2 linked regions of the Notamacropus eugenii genome follow. The protein of the gene in region 2 binds, or shares a complex with, the protein of the main gene of each other region. Links are inferred from orthologs where the notes say so. Each region holds a gene or a part of one and is shown on either strand. Other genes may lie near its edges.

The links.
Region 1: CYFIP1 (region 2) and WASF2 share a complex: the UniProt entries of both Homo sapiens proteins name them as parts of the WAVE2 complex. The link is inferred for Notamacropus eugenii from reciprocal best matches to the Homo sapiens genes CYFIP1 and WASF2.

What each region holds. Positions count from the first base shown.
Region 1 is NC_092876.1:68,627,356-68,631,254, forward strand, and holds the start of WASF2 (actin-binding protein WASF2), read right to left. Parts: upstream 2,168-3,899; 5' UTR 2,081-2,167; intron 1-2,080. UniProt on the Homo sapiens protein: Downstream effector molecule involved in the transmission of signals from tyrosine kinase receptors and small GTPases to the actin cytoskeleton. Promotes formation of actin filaments. Part of the WAVE complex that regulates lamellipodia formation.
Region 2 is NC_092876.1:400,100,820-400,104,718, reverse strand, and holds the start of CYFIP1 (cytoplasmic FMR1-interacting protein 1), read right to left. Parts: upstream 2,619-3,899; 5' UTR 2,512-2,618; intron 1-2,511. UniProt on the Homo sapiens protein: Component of the CYFIP1-EIF4E-FMR1 complex which binds to the mRNA cap and mediates translational repression. In the CYFIP1-EIF4E-FMR1 complex this subunit is an adapter between EIF4E and FMR1.

The sequences.
Region 1 (3,899 bases), about 330 Mb from region 2:
TGTATGTCGGGGGGGGGGCACCTCTTTAATTCCCTAAGGGACAGATCTGGTACCCACCTGTACCTTTCCATAGGGAAGATCTGTTCTACCCTGCTCACTCTCCTACGGGGCAGCCCTGGTACCCACCAGCACAACTCCAAAAGGAGGCTAACTCCACCATGGGGCAAGCAGGGACTCCTTGTTCACTTCCCCATTTGGGGTGGGGAGGCCATGAATCCCTTGCTCATTTCTTCATGGCTCTCATGGAGCAGCCCTGGGACCCCTGCTTACTTCCTCATCCTGCTCTTTCCCTTATGGGACAGCCCTGGGACCCCTGCTCACTCCCTTACAGGACAGCCTGGGACACCTGCTCACTCCCTTATGGACAGCCTGGGACCTCTGCTCATTCCCTTACAGGACAGCCTGGGACCCCTGCTTACTCCCCTACGGGACAGCCTGGGACTCCTGCTTACTCCCTTACGGGACAGCCTGGGACTCCTGCTCACTCCCTTATGGACAACCTGGGATCCCTGCTTACTCCCCTTCGGGACAGCCTGGGACTCCTGCTCACTCCCTTATGGACAGCCTGGGACCTCTGCTCATTCCCTTACAGGACAGCCTGGGACCCCTGCTTACTCCCCTACGGGACAGCCTGGGACACCTGCTCACTCCCTTATGGACAGCCTGGGACCTCTGCTCATTCCCTTACAGGACAGCCTGGGACCCCTGCTTACTCCCCTATGGGACAGCCTGGGACACCTGCTCACTCCCTTATGGACAGCCTGGGACCTCTGCTCATTCCCTTACAGGACAGCCTGGGACCCCTGCTTACTCCCCTACGGGACAGCCTGGGACTCCTGCTTACTCCCCTACGGGACAGCCTGGGACACCTGCTCACTCCCTTACAGGACAGCCTGGGACCCCTGCTCACTCCCCTCCGGGACAGCCTGGGACCCCTGCTCACTCTCCTACGGGACAGCCTGGGACCCCTGCTCACTCCCTTACAGAACAGCCTGGGACCCCCGCTCACTCCCCTACGGGACAGCCTGGGACCCCCCGCTCACTCCCTTACAGGACAGCCTGGGACCCCTGCTCACTCCCTTATGGACAGCCTGGGACCTCTGCTCATTCCCTTACAGGACAGCCTGGGACCCCTGCTTACTCCCCTACGGGACAGCCTGGGACTCCTGCTCACTCCCTTATGGACAACCTGGGATCCCTGCTTACTCCCCTTCGGGACAGCCTGGGACTCCTGCTCACTCCCTTATGGACAGCCTGGGACCTCTGCTCATTCCCTTACAGGACAGCCTGGGACCCCTGCTTACTCCCCTACGGGACAGCCTGGGACTCCTGCTTACTCCCTTACGGGACAGCCTGGGACTCCTGCTCACTCCCTTATGGACAACCTGGGATCCCTGCTTACTCCCCTTCGGGACAGCCTGGGACTCCTGCTCACTCCCTTACAGGACAGCCTGGGACCCCTGCTCACTTCCCTCCGGGACAGCCTGGGACCCCTGCTCACTCTCCTATGGGACAGCCTGGGACCCCTGCTCACTCCCTTACAGAACAGCCTGGGACCCCCGCTCACTCCCCTACGGGACAGCCTGGGACCCCCGCTCACTCCCTTACAGGACAGCCTGGGACCCCTGCTTACTCCCTTATGGACAGCCTGGGACCTCTGCTCATTCCCTTACAGGACAGCCTGGGACCCCCGCTCACTCCCCTACGGGACAGCCTGGGACCCCTGCTCACTCCCTTATGGACAACCTGGGATCCCTGCTCACTCCCCTACGGGACAGCCTGGGACTCCTGCTCACTCCCTTACGGGACAGCCTGGGACCCCCGCTCACTCCCCTACGGGACAGCCTGGGACCCCCGCTCACTCCCCTACGGGACAGCCTGGGACCCCCGCTCACTCCCTTACAGGACAGCCCGGGACTCCTGCTGGCTCCCCGTGGAGCTGGCCCTGCTCTTGCCCCCCACCCCTGCCCAGTGCATGCCCGCTCAGACCCGTCGGACCCTCGGACGCCGGCCCCGGCCCGGCCAGGCCCGGTCCCGCCAGAAGCCGCCCTCTCCCGGGCCAGGAGAACTTGCTGCTCACCTGGCCTCCGAAAGAGCCAACCGCGGCAGGCCCTGACGCCCCCTCTGCCCGCAGCCGCGGTCCGCAGGGTGGTCTAGCCCCCCGGCGGCTGCAGCCACTCTGGCCTGCGGTCCCTCCCTCAGCTCGCTACGCCCCCGGCCGCACTCGCCAGATCGGCGTCCGCCATTACGCGCTCCCCTCCCGGAGACATAGCCCCACCCCGGCACCAGATCTGATTGGTTTACAGCCCCGCCCGCTCGGAGCTTCCAGCTCTTTCATTGGTCTTCACGGAGCGCCTGTCAAACTGATACGCAAACGACGTACTCCGCAGGCACTGCCCCGGGAGCTCCACCCGAAAGACTTCCGCAAATGGAGTAAACAGGACGGAGGAGACCAAGTGAAGTTCAAGGCGGGGTACGAGCAAGTCAACTTCCTAAATGAAAGTACGGAAACGCTGCTTCTGAAGGGCAGATGCTCTTTGAAAACATTTTAGGCGGTGGTTTATTGGCAACGGTTCTAGGAAAACGTGCGCAGGAAGCGAAGGAATGAGCTGGGCCCCCGAACTTCCTTCTGTGTACCCTCCAGGTTTCAGTTGGTTTTGCCCAGTCCCTCCTCCCGGCTTCTGACTCGGGCTAGGTGGGAACTGGAAAGTTGAGTCACGGCCTCGTCCCGGGGTCTGGCTCGAGCACACCCAGGGCGGGGACGGGCTCTGCGGAGGAGGGGTCCCCACGTGGCGGAGAAGTGAGCTGTCTAAGGCACGCCCCTGGGCCCCCGCGCTTTTCAGAATTCCTTCCTCGGAGAACTTGTGACCCAGGTGGACCCCCTGCCCTTCGCCACCACGGCTGGGGACCCCCCGTGTCCGCTCCGCTCGATCCGATGAACTTGTGCTAAGCTTTCTCTTGTTCTGGGCTGGGGGGTGGAAAGGGCTCGTAGACAAAACTACCCGCCCTTCAAGACTTTAAAATCTAATAGATGGTGCTGTACCGGTGCTCGGGAAACTTCAGTGGTCAGGGAGTCTGCAAGCATGTATTAGACGCTGTCAGTGTGCGGGGCATGATGGTATAAACCCTGGAGACGCAAAGACAGACGGAAAGAAAGGAGAACACGCACACACTCGCGGGAAGGAATGGGGTGGGGAGGGAAGGGAGAAGAAGTTGAGATGGAGAAGTTCAGAGTAGCGCACCCCTGGTGAGAAATGAGGATCCCCCTCCCCCCGCAGTCAGCCTGGGCACCCTCCTTCAGTGGAGGTTCAGCGAGGTGCTTTTCACCCTCCAGAGTCCAGTCAGAGAAAGGGGTCCCCAAGGCTGAAGGCAAGCTCCAGGGCTGAAGGGATCTTCTGGAGCATCGTGGAGAAATCCAGGATATGATTCAAACTGCTTTGGCATTTAAAGCCCTTCATCCAAGCTGATTAATCATTACTTCACCCTCGCTAAGGCTACGTTACCTCCTTCTGAGATTACCTCCAATTTATCCTGTTTATATTTTATTTGCATGAAGTCAAAGCATTTATTAAGCACCTACTGTGTGCGGAGCTGGGGACACACAGAAAGGCATCAGATGGTGAACTTCTTGAGGTCAGGGGCAGTTTTCCCCATTTCTTTGTATCACCAGGGCTCAGCACAGTGTCTGGCACATGGTGGGTTTATAAATTCCTGTTGACAGGATTTGAAACTGACCGACTTAATTCCAGGTGTAAGACATTCCACTTCATATCTCCGTAATGTCTGTCTCTTCAGGCTACACTCCTGACTCTCTGGACTTTTCATTTCTTTATTCCCCTTTTACCTACTCCATCACTGTCTTTCCTTCTAGTGATAATAATAACAACTAATATATAGCC
Region 2 (3,899 bases):
AGGAAATCTTCAACACCATAACCTCATTTTAACCACAGTGATATGACAACTACTGTAGGGAGCACCGGTAGACTTGGCAACAGCAATATAATGGTAATATTTACAATTTCTTTTTTTAAAGGAAATTGCATTTGCCTATAATGCCATTTAAAAGTTTGGTTTAATTTTTTTCAGGCCTCAAGTTAATTTATGTAACATTATTTTCTTCAAATAGAAAATGTCAAGTAAAAGTGCTCCAGGAAAAACAAAATAGCAGGTGCAAATCTAACATCTTACATGTACATATATGATAATATATAGTTTTAAGAAAGACAGCCTTTTTTAGTTGTCAGACTCTAGACAAGACTGGTCAAATGTTCCAACGCACTCATCAACATGCAATGGAATTTTTTCTAGTTGAAACACTGCTTTAAGTCTATCCTGTAGTCAGCTCATAATCAGTGATTAATTCCATTTTACACCGTCAAGCCAAAATGAACATAAATCATGATAAATGACGTACTGAGGTATACAGTATTGAAATTGTCCATTGGTATCAAATATTGAGATACCAAAGCTTCAGCTGCCCCAAGAAAACAAACAATACAATTCAGGCTTTAATAAGTAACCACAGTCTGTGATTGTAAAAACATCAACCCCAAGATTGGCATTGGATCCTCCTCTTGGCTTTAAAAATGAAGCTTACACTTAACTATTCAATTAAGTCCTTCATTCCTTTTCTTATACTCACACAATTTGTGACATTTCCAGCTACATACATTTCATACTTAAAATACAAGCGATGGATCTTTCTTTGTCAGATTTTAAAAACTCACAATCAGGAAAGAAAAAATGACTGTCTCTTCCATCACACTGGCCACTGAGCACATCAACAGGAAGACTGGGAATTTTACTTTACACTCTCTGCCCTGCAAAATCCATTTACTTTAGAATGATCTCTCTACTCTCCCAAGGGAAAGGCAATGAATTTTTTAAAAAATTGTTTAAAGTCTTGATCTATCATCCTCATGCAAAATTAACAGGCTTAGGTAAGTGACCTACACTTTCCATTATTTAACCTCTCTCAGGCCTGGGTCTACTAAAAGGATATTGACCGCTTGCCAGATCAGTAATTAGTTTCAAATAAGATGAAACATTTTGCAAGCCTTCAGGAACTACATAAAAGTCAGCTATTCTCATTATTATCTACAAAGCTCTACACACTACTGGAGTTCAATAATTGACTTCTATCGCAAATACTCTTATTTTGAAAGTGATCTCTTTGTAAGCAAAAACATGTGAAGGGGGGGGGGGGTTCCTACATTAAAAAAGAGACGTTCCAAACCTTACAAGGACCACTATACCAGGTGAGTATGGACCTGATAACTGTCTCTTTTATATATAGCGTTGGATTATTTCTATTTCATGGTTTGGAAAAGGAAAAGGAAAGCACAGGACAGAAAGCAGAATGAGTTGTGTGCATTTTAAAAACACAGAGTTCACCAAAAATCTTTTGAGTTGCTTCACATCCTGTTCTGATAAAATAACCTGGCCACTACTGATCTGAACCATACACGACCCCCATAACCCCAAATCTGTGCCACGGTATTTCGCCCTGCCCTTAGGGACTCTTTAAAAGGTATAATCTGTAAGCATCGAATTCGAGGCCTCTTTCTCCAGAGTCAACTAGGGCTCAGCGGGTAGGAGAAAGCCAGGGGGTTAATAATTACATCCACTCTCAGTCACCACTCGCATCTTTTTATTGGAGTTGACTACAAGGAGTGGACCAGGAACCAGGAAGGTGTAGGATTCTGAAACACACACACACACACACACACACACACACACACACACACACACACACACACACACACACACACACACACACACACACACACACACACACACACACACACACACACACACGCTGCTCGGGATTTCCCACTCCTGGTCACCTTTTCCATCTTTTTCTTGGAGTTGATTTCAAGGAGTGACATTCCAGGGTCCAGGAGAGTATGGGGTACATATACATACACATATATACATACACATACATACACACACACACTCACACAGCTTGAGGAACGAGGTTTTCCGTGATGAGATTTGATGCGTGGGCCACCCCCTCCCTCAAATCAGCCCCAGGGCCGGGCTCCGCTCGCCCCCTCCTCTCCCCCAAGGGGGACCCCGAGGCTCGGAGCCGGCTCAGCAGGACGAAGGGAGGCGGCGGGGGCCGGGGCAGGGTCCCACACCCCCGCACCGCGCGGTCCGCAGGGGCAGGGTCCCACACCCCCGCACCGCGCGGTCCGCGGCCCCGCTGGCCCTCCGCCCCGGCCCCAGCACACCGGCTCGGGGGCGGACACTGGCCGCAGGGTAGGCACCCCGGAGCCTCCGGAAAGGGGCTAGGAGGGAAGGGAAGCCCTCCTGCCCCCAGCTAGTAGGGTGGGGGAGGGAGAGGAGCGGCGGAGGGGACTCCGCGCACGGTGCGGGCCCCGGGGGGGAGAGGGAGACAAGCAGAGAAAAGTTTCTTACCGGGCGGTGGGGGAGGCGCCTCTGCCCAGCTGCTGCGCCCCAGCAGGGCAGGGCAGGGCAGGTCGCTCCCGGGACCCCGCGCTCCCCGGCTCCGGCGGGCCGCTCTTGGGGAATTTCCTGCTTTGAGTCACTCGGACTGGAACCAGCCCTAGGAAACACCCTTCCTCCTCCTCCTCCTCCTCCTCCTCGGCTCCCGAGTACACACACACACTCAGTCCCGAGGGCTGCTGCTCCTCCTCCTCCTCCTCCTCCTGGTGGAGCGGCTGTAGCGGGGGTGGTGGAGGGGGCGGCCCCGGCTGTGCTGCCGCTTCTATCCCATCCCTTCCCCTTCCTCCCAAACAGCTCCACCTCCCGCTCTTCTCGTCCTCTCCCTTCCCCTTCCTCCCCTAAACACGCCGAGCCCCGCCTTCTCCAGGCCAGTCCCGGGGAGTCCGGCGCTGGCGCCGCCCAGCTCCGTGCAGCCGGGCCCGGGGCGCTGGGAAAGCGGCTCCGCGCCCCCCGGCCTCCCTTCCTTTCTTCTCCTCCCCGCCCTCCCTATGGAGTGTCTCATCCCCGTCTCTCCCCCCTCCCCGCTCCCGTGCCCATTCGGCTGCGGCCGGGGAGCAGACCCCAGGCGGACCTTCCCACGCGAGCGCCCACGCTCCCACACAGCCCTGCTCCCCGCACGGCCCTCCTCCCCGCACGACCCCGCTCCCCACACGGCCCCGCTCCCCGCACAGCCCCGCTCCCCGCACAGCCCTGCTCCCCGCACGCCCCCGCGGTCTGGGCCAGAAGGAGGATGCATGGAGCGCCTATTGTTCCCCCGCCCCGGCTTTGCTAGGCTGCTGGAGAAGGGAGTTTCCTGCCTTCACAAAATGGAGCCTGGGCCCTTTTATTTGGGAGCCGGGACGAAAAGACCTAGAAGGAAGCCGCCCTGGGGAAAAAGAAGGCATCCCTGCCGCAGACAGCGTGGGGAGAACGTGCGGTGCTTCCTTTGCAGAAAAGCCTGGAGAGGTTCGCAAACTTTAGGAAAAATACTCCAAGAAGCTCTGATGTATTGGGAAAACCAAAGAGTGGTCATAGTCTCCGGTTGATAAGTTTTCCTCAAGTTTCGGATCACTAAAAAACATCTTCTCTAAAAATGGATGTACGGTGCCATTCAGGGTCTCCACCTCTGAGTGGACAAGGAGATAATTCCTTTCAACAAATGTTAATACCCCTCCTGGGCACAGCACCACATTTGGTGCCAGGGATCCAAAGACCAGTGTGACGAGTTGATGAAATACCAGTTTTACAACCCTGACTTAGTGGATGAATGCACATCAATGAGAAACTAGACTGTTTGTATGTGTTTATTTAAATAATCTGGGTGGGAATTAGATTTTCATAGTTGTCAAGACTCCCGTAAA